Linked DNA regions of Coturnix japonica. The main gene of each other region encodes a partner of the protein of the gene in region 4 in a complex. Links are inferred from orthologs where the notes say so. Each region holds a gene or a part of one and is shown on either strand. Other genes may lie near its edges.

The links.
Region 1: the proteins of SFN (region 4) and RIPK2 are in contact, whole or in part, in a crystal structure (PDB 7OBS), measured with the Homo sapiens proteins. The link is inferred for Coturnix japonica from reciprocal best matches to the Homo sapiens genes SFN and RIPK2. Residues at the interface, in NP_006133.1 of Homo sapiens: Lys49, Arg56, Arg60, Lys122, Asp126, Arg129, Tyr130, Pro167, Gly171, Leu174, Asn175, Val178, Tyr181, Glu182, Ile219, Leu222, Asp225, Asn226, Leu229, Trp230; in NP_003812.1 of Homo sapiens: Leu535, Gln536, Asn537, Lys538, Ser539, Met540.
Region 2: the proteins of SFN (region 4) and CDKN1B are in contact, whole or in part, in a crystal structure (PDB 7ORG), measured with the Homo sapiens proteins. The link is inferred for Coturnix japonica from reciprocal best matches to the Homo sapiens genes SFN and CDKN1B. Residues at the interface, in NP_006133.1 of Homo sapiens: Lys49, Arg56, Arg60, Arg129, Tyr130, Glu133, Leu174, Asn175, Val178, Glu182, Leu222, Asp225, Asn226, Leu229, Trp230; in NP_004055.1 of Homo sapiens: Arg194, Arg195, Arg196, Gln197, Thr198.
Region 3: the proteins of SFN (region 4) and NPM1 are in contact, whole or in part, in a crystal structure (PDB 7OBG), measured with the Homo sapiens proteins. The link is inferred for Coturnix japonica from reciprocal best matches to the Homo sapiens genes SFN and NPM1. Residues at the interface, in NP_006133.1 of Homo sapiens: Lys49, Arg56, Arg60, Lys122, Asp126, Arg129, Tyr130, Glu133, Gly171, Leu174, Asn175, Val178, Glu182, Ile219, Leu222, Asp225, Asn226, Leu229, Trp230; in NP_001341935.1 of Homo sapiens: Trp288, Gln289, Trp290, Arg291, Lys292, Ser293, Leu294.
Region 5: the proteins of SFN (region 4) and NFKBIA are in contact, whole or in part, in a crystal structure (PDB 6Y1J), measured with the Homo sapiens proteins. The link is inferred for Coturnix japonica from reciprocal best matches to the Homo sapiens genes SFN and NFKBIA. Residues at the interface, in NP_006133.1 of Homo sapiens: Glu14, Cys38, Asn42, Val46, Lys49, Asn50, Gly53, Gly54, Arg56, Lys122, Arg129, Tyr130, Pro167, Gly171, Leu172, Leu174, Asn175, Val178, Leu218, Leu222, Asn226; in NP_065390.1 of Homo sapiens: Gly62, Ser63, Glu64, Pro65, Trp66, Lys67, Gln68.
Region 6: the proteins of SFN (region 4) and MAPT are in contact, whole or in part, in a crystal structure (PDB 4FL5), measured with the Homo sapiens proteins. The link is inferred for Coturnix japonica from reciprocal best matches to the Homo sapiens genes SFN and MAPT. Residues at the interface, in NP_006133.1 of Homo sapiens: Asn42, Ser45, Val46, Lys49, Arg56, Arg60, Phe119, Lys122, Arg129, Tyr130, Glu133, Gly171, Leu174, Asn175, Val178, Tyr181, Glu182, Ile183, Ile219, Leu222, Asn226, Leu229, Trp230; in NP_058519.3 of Homo sapiens: Arg528, Thr529, Pro530, Ser531, Leu532, Pro533, Thr534, Pro535.
Region 7: the proteins of SFN (region 4) and TBC1D4 are in contact, whole or in part, in a crystal structure (PDB 7NIX), measured with the Homo sapiens proteins. The link is inferred for Coturnix japonica from reciprocal best matches to the Homo sapiens genes SFN and TBC1D4. Residues at the interface, in NP_006133.1 of Homo sapiens: Asn42, Ser45, Val46, Lys49, Arg56, Arg60, Phe119, Lys122, Arg129, Tyr130, Glu133, Gly171, Leu174, Asn175, Val178, Tyr181, Glu182, Leu218, Ile219, Leu222, Asp225, Asn226, Leu229, Trp230; in NP_055647.2 of Homo sapiens: Arg637, Arg638, Arg639, Ala640, His641, Thr642, Phe643, Ser644, His645, Pro647.

Annotation. Positions count from the first base shown.
Region 1 is NC_029517.1:112,518,902-112,522,702, reverse strand, and holds part of RIPK2 (receptor-interacting serine/threonine-protein kinase 2), read right to left. Parts: intron 3,257-3,801; coding exon 3,207-3,256; intron 2,876-3,206; coding exon 2,714-2,875; intron 1-2,713.
Region 2 is NC_029516.1:66,307,611-66,311,900, forward strand, and holds the start of CDKN1B (cyclin-dependent kinase inhibitor 1B), read left to right. Parts: upstream 1-1,249; 5' UTR 1,250-1,774; coding exon 1,775-2,249; intron 2,250-2,655; coding exon 2,656-2,777; 3' UTR 2,778-2,786; intron 2,787-3,600; 3' UTR 3,601-4,290. UniProt on the Homo sapiens protein: Important regulator of cell cycle progression. Inhibits the kinase activity of CDK2 bound to cyclin A, but has little inhibitory activity on CDK2 bound to SPDYA. Involved in G1 arrest. Potent inhibitor of cyclin E- and cyclin A-CDK2 complexes.
Region 3 is NC_029528.1:13,570,545-13,574,877, forward strand, and holds the start of NPM1 (nucleophosmin), read left to right. Parts: upstream 1-1,382; 5' UTR 1,383-1,468; coding exon 1,469-1,532; intron 1,533-2,017; coding exon 2,018-2,097; intron 2,098-4,333. UniProt on the Homo sapiens protein: Involved in diverse cellular processes such as ribosome biogenesis, centrosome duplication, protein chaperoning, histone assembly, cell proliferation, and regulation of tumor suppressors p53/TP53 and ARF.
Region 4 is NC_029538.1:1,605,142-1,608,601, forward strand, and holds SFN (14-3-3 protein sigma), read left to right. Parts: upstream 1-1,460; 5' UTR 1,461-1,613; coding exon 1,614-2,354; 3' UTR 2,355-2,853; downstream 2,854-3,460. UniProt on the Homo sapiens protein: Adapter protein implicated in the regulation of a large spectrum of both general and specialized signaling pathways. Binds to a large number of partners, usually by recognition of a phosphoserine or phosphothreonine motif.
Region 5 is NC_029520.1:32,789,691-32,794,099, reverse strand, and holds the start of NFKBIA (NF-kappa-B inhibitor alpha), read left to right. Parts: upstream 1-1,482; 5' UTR 1,483-1,587; coding exon 1,588-1,901; intron 1,902-2,146; coding exon 2,147-2,255; intron 2,256-2,714; coding exon 2,715-2,925; intron 2,926-3,417; coding exon 3,418-3,506; intron 3,507-3,619; coding exon 3,620-3,880; intron 3,881-4,365; coding exon 4,366-4,409. UniProt on the Homo sapiens protein: Inhibits the activity of dimeric NF-kappa-B/REL complexes by trapping REL (RELA/p65 and NFKB1/p50) dimers in the cytoplasm by masking their nuclear localization signals.
Region 6 is NC_029542.1:2,390,687-2,395,270, reverse strand, and holds the start of MAPT (microtubule-associated protein tau), read left to right. Parts: upstream 1-1,641; 5' UTR 1,642-1,726; intron 1,727-4,443; 5' UTR 4,444-4,459; coding exon 4,460-4,523; intron 4,524-4,584. UniProt on the Homo sapiens protein: Promotes microtubule assembly and stability, and might be involved in the establishment and maintenance of neuronal polarity.
Region 7 is NC_029516.1:139,163,846-139,167,646, forward strand, and holds part of TBC1D4 (TBC1 domain family member 4), read left to right. Parts: intron 1-1,217; coding exon 1,218-1,387; intron 1,388-3,573; coding exon 3,574-3,750; intron 3,751-3,801.

The DNA.
Region 1 (3,801 bases), on a different chromosome or scaffold from region 4:
CTACATGATGGTCCCTCATTTCCCAATGCTACAAGATTTCCAAAACAAATTATTTCACATTTTGAGGTGGGTATTACACAAATGTCTCCTTGAAGCTGTGCTCAAACTTCAGGAAAGGATAACAACAGGTAACAACTTCTAGTGCACTTCCTATGAACTCCACTGATTCATCAAAATCCATTTACTGTAGTAGGAACCTGTGGCACTGCATCTTATTAATGTATTACCATAGTTTTTACTGTTTCACTGTAGTTCTCCCAGAATAGCTCTTGTTTAACTGGCACTTTCAAGACATACGTTCAGTAGTGGGATTCTTGTTCTCTTGCATCAGCTTACACAGAATCTGGTACTCCATTTCACAATGAAGTACTAGGACAGTTTTTATTGATTTTAATTAAACTGCAGGTACGTGTTCCAAGACCACAGAATCAACAGAAGTTATGCAGAAACAGGGGAATAAATAGTCTTTGTCCGTTCTTTATAAGGGACAGATGAGTTAAGAAAACATTTCTATTTTAAGCATATTTAAAAAGGAAGGGAGGGGAGATGGGGGGGGAGAAGCTGGGTGTTACTTTCTTTTTCCCTGTGCTGTGGTGAATGCAAAATTTCCCAATCAGTGAAATTCACTTCCCTTAATTTTGAAAAACATTTCTAACTTCCTCATTCTTTTTATGATAGTAAAGGGAAAGCAACGCATGTTCTCTTCAAAGACCACATTAATTCAGGTACTGCATAGAACCAAAGACAGTTCATACAGTACATCTATCCCAGGTAATTACTCCTCCTGTGTGACCATAGACTTGGGCTGTCATTTTATTTTGAGTAACAGACATAAGAAAGCAAGAATACTAAAGGAAGTACTGTGACATGTTTACTTGTTTTATTTTTAAAAATATTATAAATAGATTTACTTACTCAGGGAAAAAATAATAATTAAACAGTCCATGATTTAATACCATATAAACCAGACTCATACAAAATAAATTAACATTTCAGAGAATACTTTTATGGCAAAGTAAAAAATGCTTCAAAAGTGGACAAAACTCTTTTCGGACTCCAAACTTTGAACATAAAGACGATAAATCTGTTTGGTTGCATTCTGTTTAGTTCTATTTTTCTGCAAAACTGGTCCGAAGAGTGAAGTTACAACCACTTATTTCTTAGCTGTCTGATTAGCATTATTCTAGTATACTGAAGTTTTATAAAGGGTTTAAAAATAGCAAGCTTTCATTCAGCAAATCTTCAAATGAGGTGCTTGGATTAATGTCCACTCTACTTGTAAGGAGCAATATACAACTCATAGGTTTATTTCAAAAAAGAATCCAAAAGTTTAGCAGATGACTGTTGAGCAAACCCAGAATTCCCAGCTTCCTCTCAAATAATGTGGAACTCTAAGACAAGTTTATTTTTTTCAGTCCAGATTTTGAATTATAATTAATAGCTAAGAGGCAGGAGGAGAACTGAAGCCATGATGGCAGCAGAGAAGCAAGAATCAAGAAGATCGGTTGCAAGGCTAATAAGCCATTTTAAAGCATTGCATCAAATTAAAACATTATATACTGTGTGAAAGAAAAGCTTTTCAAAAGCACTTATATGTATCTGATCGAGTTTGAAGACCAGATCTTGGGGTAGAATACAGCAAAAGCTAGAAGAGTGAAACGTGAGCATTCAGGTAATGAAACATATTGTTTATACCGAGGATAAAAGGATTAGGATAAAAGAAAAAACAAGATACTATAATTGCTGTTGATAAAGAGGATGGATGAAATACTCCTTTCATATCAGGGAGATTTTACACATGGTACAAAGAGACATGGTTTAATGATGGGAATAGATCATAATGACAGTTGGACTGGATGATCTTGAAGTTCTTTTCCAGCCTAGACAGTCTATGATTCTATTGGTGACTATGCCAACCCTAATAAGATTTCACAACTAAAAACTTGGTGATGACTTTCAGCCTATGTTTTTATAGAGCTGCTGTTGCACACAGAGCCAGAAATCACAAAAATATTTAGCAGCTTTTCATATTAGGGAGAAACTGGTATAGGGAGTATATCTAGGCTCAGTGCACATGCTTGTTAAGCATGACAAACCCAGGCTTGATTTCAAAACAGAATTTCTCTAGTTAACAACATGCCATGCTAATCTCTGCAAGCTCACTCTTCAATCTTCAGCTCTAAATTACATAATTCATTGGAAAAAGGCTGAAGTTACCTATATATAGACAAGAAACTACAGAAAGATTAAAAGGTACCTCTGTGGCCTCAACAATCAAAGTTCGAGTGAAAAAGATTCATCCATGCAAACATACAGAAATAAAGTGAAGTTACAGCAGCTCATCTGATGTGCAATGATTTGCTGCTTTGCCAGCTCTTACAAAACCCACAGCACTCTATGTATTTCACTCATTCTCCTCCCTCTTCTGAAAATAAGTAAATAAATAAAAAAGTCCCTTCAACAAGAGACGGCACATGTAGGAGACTCCAACTAACAAACTGTTATTATGGCACACATAGCTCCGTTCGTAAAAATTAGCTGATACACATGTTGGAACCAGACAAGAATTGCACACAATTTGACTGAGCAGAGATGAATTTTCTGACATTTTTGTCATTTCCATTTAGCAACTACACCCTTACTCTATATGTAATAAATGAGACAAAAAGCTGGCAATTTTAAGAACTGTATTCATTTTGCAAAGTAAACTTACTTAAGAACGATGGTCTTTCATCTGGGTTTTGTGCCCATCCACTCTCTATCAATCTTATGACAAGAGCTCGATGCGGAATGTCCATTGATAAGCTTTTTTCACTTAAGTCTAGTCGCTGTCCTTGTGACACACTATACATTATCTGCAAGGGGTTTATAACTTCTGTCAAAATAGACATCGTGCTTTCATTAGAAATATATGCAAAATAAATAGCTCACTGTAGGAAGAATAATTAAGATTGCAGTCGTAATATTTACATTTCACCAAAATAAGGCTTTCCTCTTTTAAAAGAATTCAAATACATTTTTTTCTTATCAATATTATAATTTGAAAAAGAGTCAAATCTGAGAAGTAACTCAATTACTTCTTGAACAGGTTCACAAATAGGATTATCATGAAGCAATCCCTGAAATGAAGTTCTGAGGAATCCAGGTCACTGGAACAGCCTACACCTAAAGCTAGAAAAATAAATTACAAGAAAACATGGCCTTACCTTCAAATGGGTGTTTCCTTGACATCACTTCCCATATAATAATTGCAAAACTGTTTAAAGTGTAAAAAGTATAGAAGACATTATTTTAGATTACCAACACTTACTGAAATAATATAGAATCATAGAATTGCACAGGTTGAAAAAGACCTTCAAGTTCATCACGTCGAACCACAGCCTAACCATACTATCCTAACTCTAACAACCCTCTTCTAAATCATGTCCCCTGAACACCACAAGCAAATGGTTTTTAAGCACATTCAGTGATGGTGACTCAACCACCTTCCTGGGGAGCCTATTCCAGTGCTTAACAACCCTTTCTGTAAAGAAGCTTTTCCTGATATCCAACCAAAACCTCCCCTAACATGACTTGAGGCCATTTCCCCTCAAGAGACAAACCCTGCTCTCCCTGTTATCAACCTTTCAGGTATTTGAAGAGAGCAATAAAGTCTCCCCCTCAGCCTCCTTTTCCACAATTGCTCAAATAACCTTTGAGCTGTCCAACCTTCTTCAAATTAGCTGATCATAACTCTAACATCCTAAGAGCCATTCTATTTACTTGTACAGGTAGCCACAACTCCACTACTTTCAGCTATGA
Region 2 (4,290 bases), on a different chromosome or scaffold from region 4:
CCAACAACCCAGAAATCCCAACAGCAAACACCTAAAGATGCAGACATCAGGATGTCAGCTTCAAGTCTCTGTGAATGGGTAGATCCTGTGGTTGCTGAAAGGAGCTGGAAAACAACTTGTGGTAAAAGTTCTGGCAAACAAAAATAGCAGGGCTGACATTTTATTTCAACCTTGTGTTTTTTAAGTGTTTTTATTTTTCTCTTTGGATGCTCACATCCCTTTTTGAACTCGGTGCTGACAAGAGGCTGACCCAGGACAGAAGGCTGAGCAAGGCAGGGGGCTGCTGCCTTAGGGAAGGAGGCCCACAGACAACCATACTCTGGGGATAAGCATTAAATGCTGATCTTGTTCCCTTTCCAGTGCCTGCACAGGTGAGGCTCCAGTTCAAAACGCACCAACTACAGGGTAGGTTTTGGTGGCCCACTGCAACTGCAAGGCCTGAAGCAAAGTGTGTGTCTGAGTACAGATGGGGCAAAAGCTCCAAAGCTTTAAGGCCACAAGATTTTGGACAGCTGGACTTTGTGGAGGGTGCCAGGCCAGACACTTTGGTATGTGGGGTCTGTAGTATCCAGGTTACCTGGGCCCTGGGGAAGTCCCAAACCTCCAGTGTCTGAAAAGATCCTGCAGTGTGTGGGGCTGTCCTGCTGAGCAAGAGATGCTGACTGTAGTGTGAGTGAGTGTGAACAAGGAGAGCCCAGAGGAGAACCCTGCACTGCTCTTAACTCCAGCGGACCTGCTGCAGCAATCAGAAAAACAGCTCAAAAATCCCTGCCCATGACTCCTGGCTCAACTAACCTTTCAAAACACACAAACTTGAAGGTTTTCATTCTCTTTCCCCTGCTTACTGAGAATACAGCTCCCTGCTGAGAATTCTTACAGCTCCTTCCACACCTGGGCCCTCCTTGCCGGCAGTGCAGCAGAAGCCACCCCTCGCTTTCTCCCTTTCCTCCTGCGGGCAGCACTACGAGGATGCTGGGCAGTGACCCTCTCCCCCGCCTCAGCCGGAGCGCAGCTCCCAGCCCGCCCAACCCTGTGCAAGCAGAGCGATAGCCACAACGAGTCAAAATGCAGCTAGTCCCCTCGACTCGCGTGACTTTCACCAGGCTTATGTTCCGCAGGGGGAGGCGGGCTCACGTGCGCGGAGCGGAGCCGTGCCGTGCCCCCCACGCTCTGCCCGCCCGCCGAGGGGCGGCCGGCGGCCAGGGCCACCTTTAGAGCCGGCGGCGGCGGCGAGGTATGGCCGTGCCGACGGGGCGGTGCCGGCCGCCGTAACCAATGGCTCGGCTCCGCTGTTTAAATAGACTCGTCCTGTCAATCATTTTCTCCTTCGTCAACCTCCCTTCAATCGCCATATTGGGCAACTGAGAAAAGGGCTCGTCTCGCCTTGTTTTTTTTCCCTCTCCGCCCGTACGACGTGGCCGTGGGGAGAGCGGCGGGGCCGTGCGGGCAGCGGTGGGGCCGTGCCGACGGCAGCGCGAGGCCGCCCCCGGGGCCGCGGAGGGCAGCGCCGCTCCCCGCTCGGCCGCTCCCCTCCGGAGCCGCCCGGGCTGCCCGGCGGCGGCGGCTGTCGGGGTTCGGCCGGCCCGGCGCTTATGCAATTGCGCGCCGCCGCCTCTCCTCCGCGGGCCGAGGCGGGGCCGCAGAGAGGGGGCCGTACGGAGACAGACCGCGGAGGAGAACCTGCGAGCGGCCGCGGGTAAGGAGCGGAGAGGAAGAGCGGGGAGAGCCGCGAGAAAGCCCAGCGCCATCGGCGACGGCAGAAAGGGAGGGGGAGATGTCAAACGTCCGCATTTCTAATGGGAGCCCTACCCTGGAGCGCATGGAGGCGCGACAGTCGGAGTACCCGAAGCCGTCGGCCTGCAGGAACCTCTTCGGGCCGATAAACCACGAAGAGTTAAACAGGGACTTGAAGAAGCACCGCAAGGAAATGGAAGAGGCATGCCAGAGGAAGTGGAATTTCGATTTCCAGAACCACAAGCCGCTGGAAGGCAGGTACGAGTGGCAAGCCGTGGAGAAGGGGAGCTCGCCCGACTTGTCCTTCAGACCACTGAGGCTACCCAAAGCCATATGCAAGTCCATCGTCTGTCAGAGCCTGGATGAAAACAAGAATTGCCAAACAGCAATTTGCGCCTCTTCTCAGGGAATCTCAGAGGATACCCACTGTGCAGGCGGGAAGACCAGTGTTGCTGGCGGTCAGACGGACTTTGCAGAGCAGTGCGCCGGGCAGAGGAAAAGACCCGCCGCCGACGGTAACGTACCCCGCGGGCAGCGCCGGGCCCGGCCCCCGCCTCCTCCCGCCCGAACGCCCCCGGTGCCGCCCGCGAGCGCCCGGAGCTCCGCGCTCGGCGGGGACCGCGGGTGAGCGGCGGGACCGAGTGGCGCCCCTCGGGCAGCCCCTCTGCGGAGGAGAAGAGGGGACGCTCCGAGCGCCGGAGTCGGGGCGAAACTAAAACGCGCGTCTCTTTGCCCAGAGAAAAGCCCGTCCGCGCCCACCTTCGCGTAGCCCGGTAGCTGACGTAGGGATGCGGGGACGTGCGGGAATAAGCCCCGGCCCCGTCTCTCCTCCCGCCCCCGGGTGCCGAGCGAGCACCTTGCGGGACAGCGTTTTAAACCGGTCTTCTCCCCCCCCCCTGTTTTTTAATTTTCCCCTCCTAGATTCCTCTCCTCAAAATAAAAGAGCCAACACAACAGAAGAGGAGGTTTCAGAAGACTCCCCCAGTGCCAGTTCAGTGGAGCAAACGCCCAAGAAATCGAGCCCGAGACGACATCAAACGTAAACTCCCCGAGTAGGTTCCCTTCGGGCTCTGGGCATTAGGATGCCTCGGGGGTGTCCGCCCCGAGCTCGGGACCGGGCTTCACGCGGCGTCGTGGTGCTGGGGGGCTGCCCCGCCTCGGCGCCGTTCGCACTGTCCCACCGTGGCAGGGAGCTCCGGCCCAGGAGGGCTCTGGATAAAAGCGGGGCTGAGCGGGAGCCTCTTGGGCTGAGAGAGGAGAGCTTGTGCTCCGGTTTTGTGTTGTTTTTCTCTTTTTTTTTTTATTTTTCTCCTCCCCGGTCGTTGTGGTTTTAGTTTCAGGCGCTGGCTGAGTTTCCAGGGAAGGGAGCGGGTTAATGGCAGCCGTGTGTGGTGTTCTTGTTGTTGTTTTGTTTCAGCGCGAGGGCTGGGGCGGAGGGAGGTGGTACATCGCGCCGGCGGTTTCGGGGCCGGGGTTTAGCGGGAAGGTTTGCGAACGCGGTTCGCGATTGTGCCGAAGAGATTAAGCTGCAAAGCAGAAGTTGCAACAAATTACTCCTGCTGTGGGGGGTGGGGGGGTTAGGGTTAGGCGTCAGCCCTCGCCTCTATGCAAATAGCGCACCACCGCCCGCTCCTTCGGGGCGGGGGCAGCTCCGCGGCCCGGTGGCGGCCCGGCCCCACGGGCTCCGAGCGGAGGCGGCCGACGGCCCTGGGGCGGCCGGGCTTAGAGTGCCGCGGGGCTGGGACGACGCACGGGCCGTGACCGGGCCGGGCCTTCCCTGCTGCGGGGAGCGGTACGAGCCCGTTGAAGGGAGCGCGTCGCTTTCAGCCTCTCTAATGTCTTCTCCCCGTCTTCTTCCCGTTGCAGGGCGGAGGACTCGTGTTTCCTTGCTCATCGGGGGGCGGTGAAGCCAGGAAGATAAACAAACAAACAAACAAAAAAAAAGTCGTAGTAGAGATGAATACATATCGTCGGTCTCCATGGGATGGGGACCCTGTGCAAGCACTGAAAAACAACTTCAGCAAAACAAACAAAAAAAAGCAGACAATAACACTAAAAGTTTAGACACTCTTAAAAAAAGACCTGCCTCTAAAAGCATCGGATGTAGCATTGTGCAATTAGGTGTTTCCTTATTTGCTTCATTGTACTACCTGTGTATATAGTTTTTACCTTATGTAGCACATAAACGTTTTGGGAAGGGGGGGGGGAGTGGAAGAGGGCGACCGATGGAGACTTGCTTTCGCCATCTAGCAAGCAAAGAAATGAAGAGAAGCAGTGTAGGCTTTTTATTCCTTAAAGATGTATTGTCCCTTTACGTGGGTCCCCCGTGTTTTTACTTTTTTCCTCGCACCACGGTGGTAAGTGCTGCTCACAGCAGATGCCTGCGGGCCACCTTCACAGCCCTCCTCTCTGTGCTGGGCTGAAGGGGTGGGAGGTGGGGTGATCCTCCACCTCAGATCCCTTGTAGGAAATTGGAATGCCTCTACGGTCTCACAAATTCACCCCTATTTGCTACATCGCCGGATTAATTCTTTTGATTTTTATGGAAAGGAATCT
Region 3 (4,333 bases), on a different chromosome or scaffold from region 4:
CTTTTAAGATCTTCCCCTGGAGTTCTCTAGGGCACGAACTGTGGAGGGGTACATGACAGGTACACGAAGGTTGTATCATCACATCAGCATGCAAACTGAGATTGCATAGGAAATCTATCTTATGTCTGTAACATAAGCCATGCTGTGGCTTTAACCGTGTTCGAAATGTGATTTCCTAAGTTTTGTAAAAGCCTCCTAGAAAGAGAATTCCATTAAGGGAAACCACGTTGACTCCGATTTCTTCCTCACTTCTCCCAGTGCAGCTATTTCTAAATCACTCCTAAGCTTTTTCAGCTATGCTGAATATTAGATGGCATACGGTTGAGCAGAATAAAATGATCGATATTGTAATGGACTTCTCATCCTAGTACATGGAAGGAATAATAAATGTCGTGATATATGACAGCCCTTCTTAAGCCCCATGGAGCCAAACGAGATGCAGTAAGCATATATCTCCTACTTGCTACCCCTGTTTTTGCTTCCCTGCGTCTGTCCTTTGTTTCCTCCCGCATTTATTTCCTCGGTAATGGATGGGTGTAATTGAATTAAAAGTGACTCGGTCTGAAGAGGAACGTTCTGGGGCTGCACTGCTTCCCTTTGACAGGGAATCACATTTGACAGAATCACAGAATGACCCGGGTTGGAAGGGACCTCAAGGATCATGTAGTTCCAACCCCCCTGCCTGGCAGGGCCACCAAACATACACCTTTACTAGATCAGGTTGCCCATGGCTCCGTCCAACCTGGTCTTGAACACCTCCAAGGACGGGGCATCCATAGCCTCCCTGGGCAGCCTGTTCCAGGGCCTCACCACTCTCCTAGTAAAGAACTTCCCCCTAGACTTCTCCTGTCTTTCCATACCCATCTGGCTTTGTGACCAGCTTAAAGGAACCGAATTTGCTTGGCATCCATCTCATGGTGGGCAGCAAATGCAATGGTGGGTCAGGTGTTGCTCTTGTCTTGCATCCATGTGGAGCAGCACACACTTTATCTTTATCCCCTTTAACTTAAAAATGCCTTTTAGCAAGCTCAGATTTGACACTGCAATGGATGCAGCTCGTGGTCCATGCAGCCCTAATAAATTAATCCTCATTCACACCACATTTGTGGTGTTTTAGCAGTCCCAGCACAAAGCACTGCATTTGTACATCTCGGTAACGGGATTTGCTAACGGGATTTGGTAACGGGACCGGTTGGTACTGTTAGAACATGTACACAGGGATGAGGAGCACGAAGGACACGTTGGAAATGAATGGGGTGACATCACATCCCACACACCGCCTCCATTTTGTATCCGCCCCGTTTACATCACCCACAACCACAATCACGACCCTCCTCCACGGCCGAGGATCTCGCGAGAACACGCGGGCTATATATAGGAGGGGGGCGGGCGCGGGGCTTCCTTTAGTGCTTGTCCGCCCGCCGCGCCGCATCGTGCACAGATCCAGCCGAGAGAGCAGGCCGAGAACATGGAGGACAGCGCTATGGACATGGAGAGCATGGGGCCGCTGCGCCCGCAGACCTTCCTCTTCGGTAACGGGATCGGCTCCCCACGCTGTGCTGGGGGCTGTAGGGCGCGGTGGAGGCGGTTGGTTGGGCCTTGGGCCTGAGGGGGCTCCCGTTGGGCCGCATTGGAGTGGGAGGAGGCGGAGGAGGCCGCGGGGCAGCGCTGAGCGTTGGGCCGCTCCGGTTCCGCTCCGGTTCCGATCCGGTTCCGCTCCGTATGTGGTGGCGATGCGGCCCTTTTGTTCCTCAGACCCTGAGCACGTGGAGCGGCGTGCGGGGACCTGCGGCCATTGCAGCACACATGGAGTATGTGGGGGGGGGGGGGGTGAGATGCGGCCTGCACCGGGAGGGGAGCGGCCTGCAGAGCGGCCGCGTGGTCGGCCGTAGGTCTGGGCCTAACACAGCACGTGTCCTAAACGTGGATGTGTCCTAAACGTTGGGGCTATGGAGTAACGGGGGAGGTTGGCCATGAGGCTCATCGTTCTCTGTCGTCTGCTCACTCTTCATTACAGGCTGTGAGCTTAAAGCGGAGAAGGAGTATCAGTTCAAAGTAGATGATGAAGAGAACGAGCATCAGTTGTCCTTGAGAACGGTAAGTAGCTTTTGTTTTCCTACTTTTCGAGTTCTGAGGTGGGGTTTTCAAGTAGTGCTGCGTGGTTGCTGTGAGAAGGCCAATGTGGTGTGTAAACTCACTGCATTGAACTGATTTATCTTTAAATAAGTACCGATGTTTTGTGGGCTATTACAAGTAATACAAGCTTGAGAATATGGTAACCTATGTCCAGTGAGTTAATAAATGTTTATTGGAAGGAATCGAGAGTTGGAGCTGACATTGAGTGCAATATTCAGTTGTTCCAGGAGCACGAGGAGGGGAAGACTTAGATTAATCATAGAGGGCACATTGCAGCAGAGCACAGGAACTTTACTTTGAAATGGATCTTTCATATACTCCCCAGTTGTAATTTCTGGGCTTTTTTCCCCACAAACTGCTAATAATGTGTGGACTTGGATCTTTTTGGGGCCTGTGGCATTGAGCAGGGCACAGTATTTTGGGGCCTTGGCTCAAGGCTGAGCATGCTTGTGTTGTTTTCCTCATCACTAATACAAGGTGATGCAACTTAACTTGCAATGAGTTTGTAGCTCCCAGCCAAGGAAGTCGTGGTGCCTCTGCATTTTCACTTATATTTAAACATGAAGGTTACACCTTAATGTAAAAGAAAAAATTAAGCTAGAAGTGAGAATTGCTCCTTGCAGGAGATTTGGATGTTAATGTTGTTCAATGCACAGCCTTATCAGAACGATACTTAGGATGCTTTCACTTCAACATTAGTTGTGTGAGTCACGTCTTCACCCTTTTGTTTCACGGATATTACAGTCTGGACTTGACAACGAGCAATTTAGACACAATTGTCGGCCCTTTAGAGTTTGTTTTGAGGGAAGTTCTTTGAGAAGGTTGATGCAGGTGGTTCTCATACCTGTATGGCTGTAACAAAGTAAGAATTGTCACATGGTGATACTTCAGTTGTGTGGATTTGTCTAAAGATTCTCACTTTAGAAGTGAGCTGTAGCATCTCCTGATGGACTGGGGGGGTCTTCATTGAGCATGGAGCAGATTCTATGCTTAGCAGAATGTAGTTTTAGGCCATTTTTTCCCATGTGGGGAAAAAAAGTCTTATTCAGCAGCATGATTTTTAAACTAAAAAGATGACCAAAAAGAATGATGGGGATTGAAATAACAGGTTAGTAATGTCTTAAGCTTGGCATCTCTTAAAAGAATCTACAAGGAAGAGATGGCTTATTAAGCAGGGTAAGGAGGTTCTGGAAGATAAAGCATGACTCTTGTAAACACTGTGTCTGTGCTCAGGATGAAAGTATAAATGAATAAAGGTAGACACGTGTAATTTAAGTCTCTGGCTGAATTTGTGCTGGGGAGGGAGGGGAAGGGAGGACAAAGAAGGATGAAAATGAAAGGGGAGGAGCACTGATGTGTGTAGAGGTAGAAAGTTGTATGAGGGTTAACTTACATCTTTAGGCTCACTTAGCTAGTGGAGTGGTTGCTGCCTCCTTCCCCTTATTGTTTAGTCTAACTTTGGTGTAGAAGGCAAGACATGTAAATGGATGCCTGCCAGCCACTCAGTAAAGAAATGTATCTTAGTTACTATAATATTGGTTGAACTGGTATAGATGGCAGGGGTAGGTAGCTGTGGGCAGGGAGGACATGCTTTAAAATGAAATTCTCATCCTAGTGGGCAGTCCCACCAGCTGATTGTAGTGCGGATCCATTTGAGAGGTGAGATCAGAGCACCAATATCACTGCTTCTAATTCACATGATAAAACATTGCCTCATGTAGTGGAGCCTACATCCTGTTTCTTAGTCTTCATTTGATGTGCTTTGCCTAGATTGTGATCACTTGCTTAAAACACATGTCATAGGGAATGGAAGCTTGAGCATGCCACTGTCTTTGTGAAGTGCTTACACACTTAATTCATGAAGAGTGAGAAGCTTTCTTCTCATGGCTGTTGGGAAGGGATGCAGTAAGCCATGTTTGCTTGCCTCAGAGATAATTGTAGTACTTGAGGAAGTTCTTGGTTTTCAGAGGACTTGCATATAACTCTGACTCAGATGCCAGAGGTTCAGAAAACTGGAATTTCTGGCCTGGTTTATGTCTGTCACTTGTTTGCTACCTTCAAGCTACAATTTTCAAGTTATTGGAACGTGCCTGTCTTGTATGTGGTGTAAGGAATCAAGGTACTTGAGTCTGAGATGCACTAGGATGACAGCGCTCAGTACTTGGTGGGTTAATGCAGAAGGCTCGTGCCTAAAAGA
Region 4 (3,460 bases):
GGACTGGGACCGCATAAGCTTGGGACCAAGAGCTGCCAGCCCTGAGCAACCCCAATGGGGAGAGGATGTCAGGGATGGGGCTGAGGGTGCTGGCACAGCGCTGGTGAAGCCCTTGGCTCCATCCCCACGTGCTGCCCGCCGCACCCTGCCCTGTGCCGGCGTGTGGGAACAGGCTGAGAGCGAAACTGCAGCGCAACGCCGAGCTCAGATCCTAATCGGGGCCGCCAGCGCTGCTGGGCAGAACTCGAATCAAAATGAGACTGACAAAAAAGAAGGAATAATAATCCCAATTCTTCCAGTACAGCGTAAAGGGAGAGAAAAGAGCCCCGGTGGGATGAGCGGAGAGGGTGGGGGACATGGGGATGGGTGGTGGAGAAGCCTTAATGGGGATCCAGTGGGGTTTGTGGGTGTGGAGCTGCCTTGGGTTTGGGGATGTCCAATGATGGTTCAATGGGGGGGTTGGGGTTGAGTACTTGCAAGTGCCAGGGCAATTCCCCCTGAGCAGGCAGGGTGGAGGAGTTGGGAATGCCCCAATCCCAATCCTGGCCCTGATCCCTGCAGCAGTGCTGGGGTAACGTGCTGCTCCTCCTGCCTCGATTTCCCCACCAGTGGGAATAAATACCAGCCCTTCAAGCCCTTGCAATCACCGACAAGTTAATCATCATATAAAAATGACAGCGATGGGATTTTTGGGGAGGAGACCATTTTTACAGCCAGGTTTATTCCCCGTGCTGTTTCTCTAAGGGTGGTTGGGATGGGGGCACTGGGTGCTGCCGCTTTCCTGCTTCACCCCAATGTGACGACCCCACTGCTCCCTGTTCTGAGCACTCCTGGCAGATGGGGAAGGGTTCCCCCATTGGTCCATGGTCCCCCATTGATCTGGGATCTCCATTGATTCCTGGTCTCCCATTTATTTGGGGTCCCCCATTGATCCGGTTTCCCCCATTAACTCAGGGTCCCCCATTGATCTGGGGATCCCATTGACTGATCCCAAGTCTTCCAAGTATTTGGGGTTTCCCATTGATTTCGGGATCCCACTGATTCCAGGTCTCCCGTGGGTCTGGGTATCCCATTGATCCAGGCTCTCCCACTGGTTCAGGCTCCCCCACTGATCTGGAGTCCCCACTGATTCTAGGTCTCCCATTCATTTGGGGTTTCCCATTGATCCGGGGTCCCCAGTTGATCTTCCCTCCTCCATTGTTTCAGAGTCTCCCACTGACATAGGATGTCCCATTGATCCAGACTTCTCCATTGATCCAGTGGGACATCCCATTGACACAGGGGGGGCTCACCATGAACTCCCTGAACACATCCTCTCCCTCCCGGCACCCACCTGATCCAGGGCAGGGTGGGTGCCACCCGCTCACCCCTTCCCCATCACCCTGTGCCTCGGGGCATGATGACTCACGGCAATTTGCTTTTTAAGGGCGGGCTCTGCGGGGAGGAAGCAGAGGAGGAGGAGGCCGCTCCTTCAGCCTCGTTGGCTCCTCCTGCTCTTGCTCGGGGCTCCGACGCTCAGCCAAAAGCGAATCGGGGCGGTGAAGCTCAGCAGAGGCTCCGACGGCTCCCGGCCCCACTCCTCGTCTCATCCTGCTCCTCATCCGCCCTCAGCCATGGCAAGAAACCACCAAGTGCAGAAAGCCAAGCTGGCCGAGCAGGCTGAGCGCTATGAGGACATGGCGGACTTCATGAAGGCGGTGGTGGAGCATGGAGACGAGCTGTCCAACGAGGAGCGCAACCTCCTCTCCGTCGCCTATAAGAACGTGGTGGGCTGCCAGCGCTCGGCGTGGAGGGTCATCTCCAGCATCGAGCACAAAACCGAGGAGGGAGACGACAAAGCGCAGCTGGTGAATGAATACAGGGAGAAGGTGGAAGAGGAGCTGAAGGGCGTCTGCAACGTGGTGCTGGGCTTGCTGGAGAAGCACCTCATCAAGAAGGCCGGAGATGCAGAGAGCAAAGTGTTCTACCTGAAGATGAAGGGAGACTATTACCGATACCTGGCTGAGGTGGCCTCCGGCAACGACCGCAAGGAGACGATCGACAGCGCCCAGAAGGCGTACCAAGAGGCCATGGACATCAGCAAAAAGGAGATGCAGCCCACGAACCCCATCCGCCTGGGGCTGGCCCTCAACTTCTCCGTCTTCCACTACGAGATCGCCAACGCCCCCGAGCAGGCCATCTCGCTGGCCAAGACCACCTTCGACGAGGCCATGGGGGACCTGCACACGCTCAGCGAAGACTCCTACAAGGACAGCACCCTCATCATGCAGCTGCTCAGGGACAACCTGACGCTATGGACAGCCGAGTGCGCGGGTGAAGACGGCGGCGAGGCTGGCGAAGAGCCCAAGAACTGAACGGCCCCCAATGCAGCTGGGGTCCATCCCCCACCTCCTTCCTCCTCCCCTCCCTCCCAGACTCCCCCCCCTTTCCCCTTCCCCTTCCCGAAGCCCTTCGGTGTCTTTTCCTTTTGTTTTGTTCCTTTTTTAAGGAGTGGGGAAGGTATTTCGCCCCCCCACCCTTACCCCCCCTCCAGTTCTGGGAGTGGGGTCCATATGTTTGCCCTTTGGCAGGGCCTCCCCTTTCCTTCTCCCCCCCCCCATGTTCTTGTCATGCTCCCCTCACCCCTTTAACACTTTGTTTGGGGGATACCCCAGCGTAGCTTAGGGGGGGCCCTAGCCCTCTGTCTTGGGGGGCTAGAGCCGTGCCGCTGGTCCCTTGGGGGCAATGGGAGGAGGTGATGGGACGGGATGGGGAGAAAGGGGAGGGGGGGGGTTGATGTGCCCCCCACCCGGATGGAGGATTGCGAATTGCCGAAGCCTCTGTGTGGCTCCAATAAACCATCTCGTGCACGTCTGCCTCTGTGGTCGCCTCATCTCTCCTGTCGTGCACAAGCCCAGGCAGCTCCTGCAGCTCCCACAGCCGGTCCCATTGCGTGCCACGCCATGCTGGGGAGCACTCGGGGCCTCCAAAGTGCAGGTCTGGCTGCCTGCAGCCCCTCCCAGCCCCGCCATGGGGTGTGGGGGTACTCAGCCAGCCCCAGACCTCAGGGACGGGTCTCAGAATGGGCTTTCTAGGTGGGTTTTCCATAGGGAGAGTATGTCCCAGGTCTCCAGCCCTGCAATTGTATGTCCCCATTCCCATGGTGTCTCCATCCCTTTGGTTTTCCCATTCTTGTACTGTCCTCATCCCCAAGATGTTCCTATGGTGTCCCCACCCCCATAGTATTTCCATCCCCGTAGGGTTTCCATCCCCATGGTGTCCCCATTCCATAGTGTCCCCATCCTCATAGTGTCCCTATCCTCATTATGTTTCCACCCTTATGGTCTTCCCATCCCTATGATGTCCCCATCCCTACAATGTCCCCATCCCCATCTTGATGTCCCCACCTCCATGATATCTCCATCCCCATGGTGTCCCCACCCAAACCACGCAACCCACAGTGTCCCAAACCCCATTACTG
Region 5 (4,409 bases), on a different chromosome or scaffold from region 4:
CCATGAGGCAGGCAGGAGGAGATTCATTTGATAATTAAGTTCCCCCTGCCAATTTACATCAAAAAGGGGAAACCCTTTCAAGAAGCTTGCAAAACTTTCAAAACCCCATAACCTATAAAAGAAAAAGTTGCCTGGCTTTCCTAAACCTGCCCAAAATCACCGGTGGCTGTCCCAGACCTTGAGATGAATAATGAGAAAAAGGCCAGGAATGGTATGGCTGGGCTGGAAACCAGGACCAGCTGTTTTTGGGAACCCACGTGCCCTCTCTGATCTTCCTCCCTCTTTCATCTCTGGGTTTTCTCCCAGGGCCTCTTGCAGAGAGACATCATCCCACGGGAAAGTGGCTGGAGCACATCTCGGGCAGTTAGTCAGCCAGGCCAGCAATTGCTGCAAGAGAAGAAAAATTCTTAATGGGAATCCCCCACATCTGAGTAGCAGCAGAGAAATTCACCAGGGAAAAGTTCGGCATCACTAAACCCACACTGACTTTAATCCTTATGAGAGGCTGCATTCAGCCAGCTTTCATTGCAAGCAGATGGGAGGGCACCAGTACAAAGCAGAGAGGAAAAAATTAAAATGGACATGGAATAAGGATGCTGACAGGATATAACACTTTTTAAGGGGGAAAAGGGGGTTTTTTGTTTGATTGGTTTTTGTTTTGTTTTTTTAATCTGCACAAACGTTCTGAAGGGTTCTGTAGAGTCCGTGGCAAGAACTGTGTGCAAAGAGTGGAACAGGACTTTCCTGCCTATTCCATCCCATGCCACTGAGACAGATTAAAATCTTCCACAGCAGAGAGGTGAGTTGTTACGAAGGCTGATGCCATACCTGCAGGCCTGCAGCCAGTATGACAGTTTAACACAAGTCAAGCACAAGACTGTATGAATCTCTCTAAACATATATATATATATATATTATCATTGTGACACCCTCAAGGCTTTGGGACATGGGGTCAGCGCAGACAAGCTCCTCTCTGCAGCCCTGCAGGGAAGTGTGTTGCTTCCCTCCCCCAGGACTGGTGCAGGACAGGCAGCCCCATAGGACAGGTGTGGGTGCTGCTGGGACAGCACGGGCACGAGGACAGAACACGTGTAGCAGGGTGGACTCAGCGTACCGACGGGAGCCTCTGCATCCACCCGTCTGGACAGTGACTGGCTTTACCGCGTCACTTCGCCACCAGCCGGCCGAAATATGCCCCCGGTCCGACGCAGGTCAGACGAGCGCTGGTTAATGCCTCCTCGGGGAGGCCCTCTCCCCGATCCGGGCGGGGAAGCCCCGGGCGGGCCGCGGTGCAGGGCAGCGGGCCGGGCGCCGCAGGGAAGTACCGCAGGCACCGCGTTACTCAGCGGGACGGCGAGTACTTCCCCCTCCCCCCCGCAGGCACGGCAGGGAATTCCGCCGGGCTGGGCCGGGCCGCGCTGCTTTGGGCCGGCCCCGTTCCTCCCCGGCCCGCCCCTGGCGCCGAGCAGGACCGGGCTCGCCCGAGTGGCTGGAAATTCCCGCGGCGGCGGCTCCTCCCCCGCAGAAATCCCCTCGCCGGGCTGTATAGGCGCCGCCGCCGCCGCCGCCGCCGCCGCTCACTCGCGGATGCCCGTCCGTGTCGGAACGCCGCCACCAGCAGCAGCAGCCGCGGCGCCGCGCCGCCCCTCCAGCCCCGCCGCCATGCTCAGCGCCCACCGCCCCGCAGAGCCGCCCGCCGTGGAGGGCTGCGAGCCGCCCCGCAAGGAGCGGCAGGGCGGGCCGATGCCTCCCGACGACCGCCACGACAGCGGGCTGGATTCCATGAAGGAGGAGGAGTACAGGCAGCTGGTGCGGGAGCTGGAGGACATCCGCCTGCAGCCCCGCGAGCCGCCCGCCCGGCCGCACGCCTGGGCCCAGCAGCTCACCGAGGACGGCGACACGTAAGTCGGGGCCGCGGGAGGCCGGGCCGGGGCGCGACGGCGGCGGGGAGGCGCCGGGCGGGGAGCGGAGCGGAGCGCGGAAAGTCCCTGGAGCGGAGCCAGGAAGAGGCGGCTCCGCGGTGCGGAAAGCCCCGGCTTTCGAAACCCGCACATGACTGCGGCCGTGAGCCGGGGGCCGCGTCAGCCGCGTCCCGCTGGGGGGATTTGGGTCTCACGTGGGGCGCTTCCTTTTTTCCTCGGTGCAGTTTCCTCCACTTGGCGATCATTCACGAAGAGAAGTCCCTGAGCTTGGAGGTGATCCGACAGGCCGGTGGCGACGGCGCCTTCCTGAACTTCCAGAACAACCTCAGCCAGGTACGCTGCGCCCCCGGGCCGGGCCGCCCCCGCAAAAGGCCCGCGGGGAATTCCCGAGGAGAAGTTTCTGTGTAATTGAATGGATGTGAAGTCGGAGCCCACGTTGGGGAAAGCACCTGGCTCACTCCATGCGGTGGGGGTGCAGCGCTTTGTCCTGCTGCAGCCTCTCGCGTTTTTCATACGCGATGCAATGGATCGCATTCCTCTCCATTGGGATGTTAATGATGCCCTTCCATATGGATAGAATATGTGATATCTGGAGAGCCCCAAGTCTACCATACCATACCATAGCTACCAGACTACAGAGCAGCAGTGTGCTGTGCCAGGAAGCGCTAAGAACTGACTTGCAGTACTTGCATTTGGGCAGAAGTCCTCAATAGCCACTGCAGGGTTTGTGTATTTGAACCTTTGCTAAACTTGTCACATAACTCAAAGCCGTGTGTTCCCTCCTGCCTGCAGACTCCTCTCCACCTGGCGGTGATCACTGACCAGCCTGAGATCGCCGAGCACCTGCTGAAGGCTGGCTGTGACCTGGATGTCAGGGACTTCCGTGGGAACACCCCGCTCCACATTGCCTGCCAGCAGGGCTCGCTCCGCTGTGTCAGCGTCCTCACACAGCACTGCCAGCCCCACCACCTCCTCGCCGTCCTGCAGGCCACCAATTACAATGGTACGTGTGCTCTGCCCTAGCAGAGATCTCAAGAGAAGTATCTTCTTCCCATTGGAGTGCTGAGGAGGGCCCAAAGCAAAGAAGCATCTGACTTCCTTAAGATGTTGTGGGTTCAGCCTTGCGGGCCTCCTCGCTCATGGTCATTGGCTCTCATGGGCCTTAAATTTAGTATTTTTAGTGAGTGCTTCTGCAGTACTCATAGCAGTTATGTTTTTGTGGGTTGTTTTTTTTTTTTTTTTTTAGAGGGTAAAGTTGTTACAGTAAGGCACAGTTAAAACCTAGAATAGATCCCCTAAGAAATCCAACCCAATCCAAAATCCAACCCAGTTATCCCTGTTATCAGGAAGCTGGAAAGCTGTTTTGAAAAACATGGTTTTGCCCCGGTTGATTTACTAACTTAGATACTCTTCTGTCTTATCATCTTGACTTTAAACAAGTTATGGGGCATTAGGTAAGACTTACTCAAATTTTGCCTTTGTTTTTATCTTCCAGGACATACATGTCTCCATTTGGCATCTATTCAAGGATACCTGGCTGTTGTTGAGTACCTGCTGTCCTTAGGAGCAGATGTAAATGCTCAGGTATGTAATTTATGCTATGAATTTAAGTGAGCTGTCTAGTCGGAAGAATCAACAGGTGTGACAGTGCTAAGCCTCACTCCCCTAATGCAATACCTCATGTTGTATCCAAACAGGAGCCATGCAATGGGAGAACAGCACTACACTTGGCCGTAGACCTGCAGAACTCAGACCTGGTGTCACTTCTGGTGAAACACGGGGCAGATGTGAACAAAGTGACCTACCAAGGCTACTCCCCATACCAGCTTACATGGGGACGAGACAACTCCAGCATACAGGAGCAGCTGAAGCTGCTGACCACAGCTGACCTGCAGATACTGCCCGAAAGTGAGGACGAGGAGAGCAGTGAATCAGAGCCAGAGTTCACAGAAGATGAAGTAAGTCCTGTTTGCTTCTTTTCAAGAGAAGAGTCACATCCTGCTCTTTGTTGTTTGGCTGGTACTGCAGTGAATGACCTCTTCCCTATGTAACTTTTGGGGGTTACAGCCCATGAAGTAAGGTTGTACTGCCAGCCATCAGAGGGGTGGCAGTTAGGGCAGGGTGGCAGTTAGGGCAAGGTTATAAACAGAATGAGCTTAGGAGTGAAATATAAATAATACAGTGGGTAACAGAGGGTAGCTTCACACTGTATTATTTCTCTGAGCTGATGCCTACAGAACTTAATGAGATAAAATAGTTAATGGGTGGGTTTGGTCTTCCCAGCATTTGTTTTTGTGATGGTTAAATAGCAAATGTAACCATTTCAGTGTAGAAGTTGCAGACGTACTGGAGTTAGGGCATGCAGAATTTGGCTGTTGTCCCAGAGTAGATGGGATAATCCTAGTAGGAGTTTGGCATTAACAGCACTTTGTTTTTCTTCCAGCTTATGTATGATGACTGCTGTATTGGAGGAAGACAGCTGACATT
Region 6 (4,584 bases), on a different chromosome or scaffold from region 4:
GAAGCAGATCGGGCAGGCTCTAAAACTCCTCTTGCTTCCTTTTTTGCTGCTGTGTAAGCCCCTCTGATCGGAGCTTTAATCTGGCTAAAGTCAGTGGGTTTGGGGCCGGCCTGAGCTTTGCATCGTGGTGCAGAACTGCTCTGCAGCTCCAGCAGCTCACTGTGCTGTGCTCCTCCTGGGTGTGCACAGGGACATCGGTGCTGCAGGGCATTGCATTCTGCTCGGTCAGCTGGATCAGAGGGAAGAAGAAAGGTAGGAAGGGATGGAAGATGAGGGAAGGGTGGCAGCAATAGCAGCGGGTTGGCCCTCAGGTGTGTGGTTTTGGGGTGAGGCAATAATGCAAGGTGTAGGCTTCATATTCCTGCAATGCAATGTGGCTCCCAGCAGGTTCCAGTTTGCAGGGCTGTGCTGTTGGGGCACAGAACCATTGCTGCTCCCCATGGACCGGCTGCTCTCACTGCTCAGGGTGGGCTCGGATAATCTGCCCTCCTAATTGCCACCCAGTGAGGAGGCAGCTGCTGAGCCAGCCCTTAAGCTGATTTGGGATGGCAAATTCTGTTAGTTTAATTCTCAGCAATGCTGAGGAACGTGCCAGCACGTGAGCATCACTTGGCTTGTCTCTGGCAACCTGAGCCAGCTGGTGAGGGCATGCAGTGCTCAGAGCTGGGACAGGTTGGGTTTGTAAGGGGGTATTTAACTGACCATTCCTTGAGCTCCTGTGTTTGCAGCCCCAACTTTGCTATTCCTTTTTAATGCTCCTTTCCAGAGCTGTGGAGCATTCACTGCCTGGTCTTGGTAACCCAGGCCTTAATAACACACAGGTTAAAGGTGAGCAATGATGAAGAATGCATTTCTGAAAGGATTCCTTTTGCAGTTCCTTCTGTGTTTGCCTTTGAACATAAAGGAAGTTTCCTGCCCCCCTGCCTTGCTGTGATTTCTCATCTCGCTCCATATTAAGCTTTGCTTGCAGTTGATGAGATCACTGCCCGTATTCCTTCGCCTGTCAAGCTCCTTGGAAGAGCTAAGTGCACAAAGGAGATGAAAAAGAAGCTGCTTATGAATTATGAAGAGCCTTTCAAGCTGCTGTTATTTCACGGGGCCGTCGCTCCGTTTTAATTGAGTAATTCAAATGGGGGCAAAAAACAACCAACCCCATCCCAACCTGTTTGTGTTTGATCACCTGTCGGAGGGAACACGAGGCTGGCTCATGTTTGTTGAGCTTTCAAGTAACACAAGCCACCCTTGCAGGTGGAATAATGGGGAAGGAAGGAGCTGAGCAGGAGCTGGGATGCAGCTGCTCCCCTTGTGCTTGCTTGGGGTGTGCAGCAGAGCGTGCAAACACAGCCTGCATCTCTCCAAGCACTGCAGAAATGCATGGCCCATAATGGCCACCAGCAGGTCTGTCAATCCATGGTTTATATGGGGAATTTTAGCCCATGTGAATGGAAGCATCAGTTCCCAGCTCTGTGATCCCAGGGGCTGTGGGGAACAGCCCTGAATCCATGCAGAGCTGGCAGGGTGAGCTGATGCTGGGGCTGCTGGGGGTGGGGGGATGCACACAGCATGCAGGACAGCTCAGCCCCTGGCACCAGAAGCCTTTTGGTTTTGCTCCTTTGTGATGTCATCTGTCACACAGGACAGAAGGCTGAGTGCCACCCAAGCACAGCTGTGTGGTCCCCAGCATCTGCTTTCCTCCTCTCAGCCAACCCAGGCTGCTATCAATAGGGTACGTTGTTTTCAGCCCTGGTTTTTATTCACCTGTCATTGCGGGGAAACGTCACATCAAGGCAGGAAGAGTTTGAGCTGCCAGGCTTCATTTGGGACATCAGCATTCCCAGCTGGAGGGCACAGTGTGTGGCCATAGCAGCAGGATGAGAGCTGTGCAGTGCCATTGTGATGGATGGTGATACATCCTGATGCTGCTGGTGGCCCTGCAGGGACTTTGGCATCAGATCCTGCTGGCTTTGACTCTGGGTTTGACTCTTAGGGGGCACCTTTAGGCTGAGGGACCTGACTGGGTTGTGTGTATGGAGTTAATGGTGCTGGTGGGCTGAGCTCGGATATCTGTGCCCCCATGGGAAGCCTGGGGCTGTTAATGGGGCTTGAGGGGCTGTTAACACCACAGTGGGCTGTTGCTGCTTAGATAGGGCCCCTGTTTGGTGGGGATAGTCCTGCTGGAAGGGGATAAGGCTCTTGGTAGGGCTGTGTGCTTTATCTCCTGCATGGTGCCCTGCTGACGTTGAGCTCTGCAGCTCTCCTTGTTGAGTTACTCATTCCCAACCCATTGCTTTGAGGCTGTTCTTACGGCCTTTTGGAACATCTTTTCCCTTTCACGGGAGGGATTTCCTCCTCCTCCACTTGAGAAGCAGAAGGTTTGTCATCTCAGATGTTGTTTGTAACTCATAGACGTGCAGTTTTCAACCCCCCTTAGAATAAGAAGCGCTTTGTGGATGAGCCCTTTGGTTTTGCTTCCTGGTTGCAGCAGGACGGATCCGAGCCACAACTATGTGCATCCCCCTCATGTTCTGATCCTGCTTTTAGCTGATGTGGGGGAGAATGGACTCCAGCATCCATCAGAGAGGCATAAAACGCCTTTATAGTGTTGAATATGACTGCGTGATGATACAGCCTGTGTATTTCCAACCCAGCTGGGAGAGCTTTGCAGCTAAGAGATAATGGTGCTGCTGGCTCACTTGGCCTCACCCTCTGGACTGCTTGGTGTCGTTTGTTTACCTCTCTGTTGTGCTGAAGCTTTATCAGCCCTGTTGTAATGCTTTTGCATCCCAGCCCTTGCAGGGAGAGCCTGCTTCCATCCTGCTGCCCTGCAGGCACAGCACGAAGCCATCCAGCCCCATTGGGAGATGCTGCTGCTCCCCAAAGTCCCTCTGTCCAAACAGTTGTGTGTCCTGCAGCTCTCAGGGGGCATCTGGGTGATTTAATCCTCGGCTCTTTGTGGCTTTAGGTGATGCTTTTTTCCTTGTAACCTAACGGGCAGCTCTTATCTCTGCAAAATTAATTAGGAGCCCATCCCCGCTCCTTCAGCTCCAGCCATGCATGGAGCTCAATGGGAGCAGGGCTGTCTGTGCCCAGCTGTGAGCAGAACAGCATTAAAGGATTTTTTTGCAGCTCATAGAGAGACAGTGAGACCGACGGGTTCCCTAAGAAGCAGCCAAACGTTTCCTGGTGTCAGAAAGCAGCAGTGAGAGCCAGCACTGCAGGCAGGCGGCTCCATGGCCTTTGCTGAATCACTGCTGGCTGCTGCCGTGCCAGGGCTGCACAGATGCTGAAATGCTGAGCTCGGAGGAGAAGTGGGACGTCTTGAGCTGAGCTGAGCTGAACCCTGTCCACAGAACGGGCAGATGAGCCCCAGGCTGGGAATGTGAGCTGGATGTGGAGCCAGGAGTCAGTGCTGGATGGTGGCCCAGGAAATTCTTGTCCAGAGGCAGGAAAGCACTAAATGTGACTTTCAAAGAGAGGTGCTGAGAGCTCCATTCCAAACACTGGGGCGGGGGGGGGGCAGGAGAGGAGGACGTGAGCATCATTGGAACCCAGCAGTGGGATGAGTGGATGGTCTGCATCTGGGTCAGCACACACAAAGGTGTGTGGGTGCTCAGTGAGCTGGGCTGGGAGGGCTGTCCTTGTCCAAGCTTTGTGGCTGTCAAAGGCAGCAGTGAAGTTGTACATTCATCTTCCTAAGGCTTAAAGAAGCTGGGCAGGAGCTCTGCTTACTGCCATTGGAGCTTCTCTTGCTCGGTTCCATATATCCTGTTTATTTCTTGCCAGCAAACAAAACCACGTGTGTTTGCTTCCTTGCTTGCAGTGACCCGAGCCTCACTGCTGCATCCATTTGCTCCTGACGGTCATGGCAAGCACACGATTACACTAATAGCCTGTTATTAATCACTGCCAGTGGCTGTAATTACATCAGCTATTAGGAAGTCAACTAAAATCCATGTCTGTCCAATCAGAAGGACAGGCATGGTGCCTGCAGCTTGTGTTTGTTGTTGGGTTCTCTTCCTTTAAGCACTTTTAAAAGCCCCCTGAGGTCCTGGTTTGGTGTGTTAGCACTTTGCACTGCTCAATGAGTGCGGGTGGAATGTGCTCCTGGTGAATGTGGGGGCACAGGATGCTCTGGGGAGTGTTTGAGCACAGCTATGTGAAACCCAATGGGCATCTGTGTATCCTGAGCATCCCTGCACACTGTGATGTGAAACCCAATGGGCATCTGTGTATCCTGAGCATCCCTGCACACTGTGATGTGATTTGGGGTCTCATCAAGGAAAGGAGATAAAGCAGCTCCCTTCTTGCTGTGGCTGAGGAGGCAGCGTGCATTTGTTGGCTCATTGCTGGCCAGAGGATGCTCCTGGGATGGAGCTGAGGTGGTTTGGAGCACACCAACAAGGCTCCAGGCTTTGCAATCATTGCTTTTGTTTCCTTCTTCAGGTAACTTGGCTGCAAGATGGCAGAACCACACCAGGATGTCACCAACGTGGAGGACCAGGAGAGGCAGCACGTCCCTTCAGGTGAGCACATCCACAAGGAGATGGTGCAGAGGACAAGAGTGAGCCATGCAGGGGGAGCAGA
Region 7 (3,801 bases), on a different chromosome or scaffold from region 4:
TGGAATGTGCTTGTTCTGGTTAAATGTGTACCCTAGACTTGAGAAGGGAAGGTTTTAGAAACTCAGTCTGAAAAGGATGACTGCCTCAGTGTCCTGATGCTACCCTGTGGTGTCTGACTAGGGTCAAGAATGGCCTCACTGTATCAGTGTTGGAGGCTGAGGTGTGCAGCATAGCCCTGCTCTTGCTGGCGTAACGAAGCCCAAGAGCACAGAAGTCTTGTCTGAACTGTTCATGTGTTGTGTTCATCTCAATACACTCTATTCCACTTCTGATACTGAGCTTTTAGTTAATAATCAGATTTCTAATTTCTGTGCAGTCTGCCTCGACTGACTTGTGCAGGGCCTGGACGTTCCCCTCGCACCCATGCAATTATTATATAATTACCATGCAATTATTATATAATTACCTCAAAATAAAGGTTTGAAGCATAAATTATAGCTAATGTGATGGCTGTGAAGGGTTTTGAGAAAGTTATGGTTGGTAGTGGAAATCTCGTGATCATTTTTGAGGACTGTCAGGTCCTCTGGGGATACCTGATAGTGGCCTATCAGTGTTCTAAAGCGGGGCTATAAGAAGGGACAGTCTCTATAGAGGAGGGTGTCTGTTGCAATAGAACAAGGGGAAATGGTTTCAAACTAGAACAGGGAAGGTTTAGGCTGGATATAAGGAAAAAGTTTTTTATTATAAGGGTGGTGAGGCACTGGAATAGATTGCCCAGAGAGGTGGTGAATGTCCCATCCCTGGAGGCATTCAAGGTCAGGCTGGACAGGGTTCTCATCAACCCGATATAGCTGTAGGTGTCCCTGTTCATTGCAGGGAAGATGGACTAGATGACCTTTAAAGGGTTCCTTTCAACTTGAGCAATTGTGTGACTAGCTTCTACATGTAGAAAACAGCAAAACATCAATATGCTGTGATGTGATTCACTTCACAATTGTTTTTCAGTCACAGATGCATTTAAAATCAGTTAGCAGTTAGTTAACAGCCTGTAGCTGAGTAGACAGTAATGAAATGTTTATTGCAGACAACTATTGTAGACATAGAAAGCATGTCATTTGCAAGATGATAGGAAATGCTTGTGTATGTTTTAGGCTCATGCTGAATTAAGACAGGTTACACTTCTGAACTGAATAAATCTGCAGAATGGTTGCTATAAAAAATAAATCACAAAAAGAATCACTCATTTTCATGGTATTTCAATTATTTTCTTTTTTAGACATTATTTTTCTTCAAGGAACAGAAGTCATATTTAAAGTAGCACTGAGTCTACTTAGCAGTCAAGAGACAGCTATAATGGGATGTGAGAGTTTTGAGAATATTGTTGATTTTCTTAAAACCACTATTCCAGACATGACTCAACCTCAAATGGAAAAGATTATTACCCAGGTAAAGTTGTTTTTCTCTCTACTTCTTTTTCAATTTAGTATCCTTCTAGAAGTCTGTGCCTAAGGAGGGCCTACAGAGTATGTAGAAGTATTCTCAGGATGTCCCTTTTGGTGTGAAATGCAATGGATTCATTTTCCTAGTAACGTGTAGAAATAGGACATCAGGAAGTGCTTCTTTACCACATGTGTGATGGAGCACTGGTTCAGACTGCCCCCTAGACACTGTGGAATCTCCTTGGAGGTCTTCAAAAACTGCCTGGATGTGGACTTGGGCACCCTGCTCAAAATGGCCCTGATGAAGCAAGGTTTGGGCTAGATAGCCTCAGGAGATACCTTCTAACCTCAGCCCTTCTATGATTGTGTGATGTAGTTTTCAGTGGGTTTTAAACTGTGATTTTTAGAAAGACTTTAGTTTCTACATTATAGTTAGTACTAAAAATACAAAAGAGGTTTATGTTTTCCTATCCAAGCTATTGAGAAAATATGACTTTGGTTATACATTTCATCATCAGCTGTGCAAAAGCAACGTCACTGCAAAATGGTGGCAAAAGCTGTGAATGGAAGATAAACAAAGAATTACTGGTGCTGGTGTAGGGGAAAGTGCCTAATTTGTTTTGAAGTACTGTCAGTGCTTAGGATCTTCATCTCTCTATATCTTCTTTCTTTGCAATGAAGATGCAAATTTGTGTGCCCCGGTGGCGCAGGTGGTAGGAATGCCGCGTTGCAACACCGGAGGCCCTGGGTTCGAATCCCCCCTGTGGCGCAAGTGGTAAAAGTGCCAGTCTGCTACACAGGAGGCTCGAATCCTGGTGGTTGGACTCGATGATCTCTAAGGTCCCTTCCAACCCGCATAAGACTATGATACTATGATGAAGTTGAACGTGAATCTCAGTCTACTACCTGAGCTGGGAATGAGTGAGCAGTTTTCCATCTTCTTGTGGCAACTAGAGATAACAGAAGAGCTCTAGAAAACCATCTCTCCATGCAGGAGTTCAGTTAATACTGGTACATTCCTGTGGCTCAGGTAACACTGGAATGATTCAAGTGCTGTCAGTTAAGTCACTTGTTAATGCCATTTAAATCTTCACTTCCTCTTTATATTGACTGTGATAGCAATGCTGAACCCATGTCAGGCACTTCAGTGTCTTATCTTCGCACCTCAGTAATTTTTCCAGTGGCAGAGATGGTAGTTCAATCTTTTTTGATACTGTGGAAAATAAATCTCTGTCCTGCTGTCTGTGTGCATTTGCTGAGCAACCTTGCTATGATGAGAATGGTAGAAATGGTTTTGTGCAGAGCAGAGCCATATCTGATCAAGTAAATATCAGTGTGTGTTACCTGAGTGGAAATGGGTGTGTTTATACATGGGTCAACGTAGCTCTGAGATGAAGGTCACTTGCCTGCCTGTGGTGTGGTCCCATGCTGGTCAGCCTTCTGGATCTGCATTCATGTGCCCACTGCTTGCATCATATCACTCTTACTGGGCTGCTGCAGATGAAATCGTTTGTCTGTCTTAATGTAGTCATTCTCAGGACCGTTGTTATTGCAGATAATGAAAGAAAAATGCAGGATAATGAAAGTTATGCAGGTCTATAATGCACTGATAGAGTTGACTGAGTAGTTGGCAGAGGAAAATGGCATTTACCTAGAATGAATGTTTTTATGTTCTGTCTCATTTTAAATAACCTGAAGAGTAGTGAATGTAGAGCAAAACATGTTGGGGGATTCTTGTCTCTTCTGCTTGTGAAATGTTTGTGGCTTCTGTAATAAGGAACAAAATTGATATCACAGTAGTCATCCTTCCCAGTATAAAGTATCTGTTAATTTTCAGAAGCTGAGATGCTGTGATTAGGTATACAAACAGTAAGGGGTAATATGACCCTGATGGTTGTCTTGGATCACCCTTTTGTCTTTAATTATATATATATTTATGTATGTCTTCAACTTAGCACTCCTGCACAAAAGATGATAAGATTTGATAGCAAGACGTGATATTTGGCAACACTGTAGTGACTAGATTTATTCTGAAGTCTATATGCTAAAATATTCTTGCTTTAAAAGTAGTTTATTTTTGAAAGGTATAAGAAAGAAAATAGAATAATCAAAGTTTTCTCTTAGACAAACTTTCAAATGGAATAAACATGCTGTCTTTCTGACGTAGCTAAAAACTCTTTTATCTCATGGCAGGTATTTGAGATGGATATTTCAAAACAGCTGCATGCCTATGAAGTAGAGTACCATGTCCTGCAGGATGAACTGCAGGAAAATGTGAACCTCTGTGATGATGGTGAGCCACTGGAGAAGCTGGAGAGGGCAAACAACCACCTGAAAAGGCAAAACATGGATTTGTTGGAGAAGCTACAGGTAAATGACTAAAAATCGCAAACTTGTGGAGAAGACATTCCTAGGGCTCAG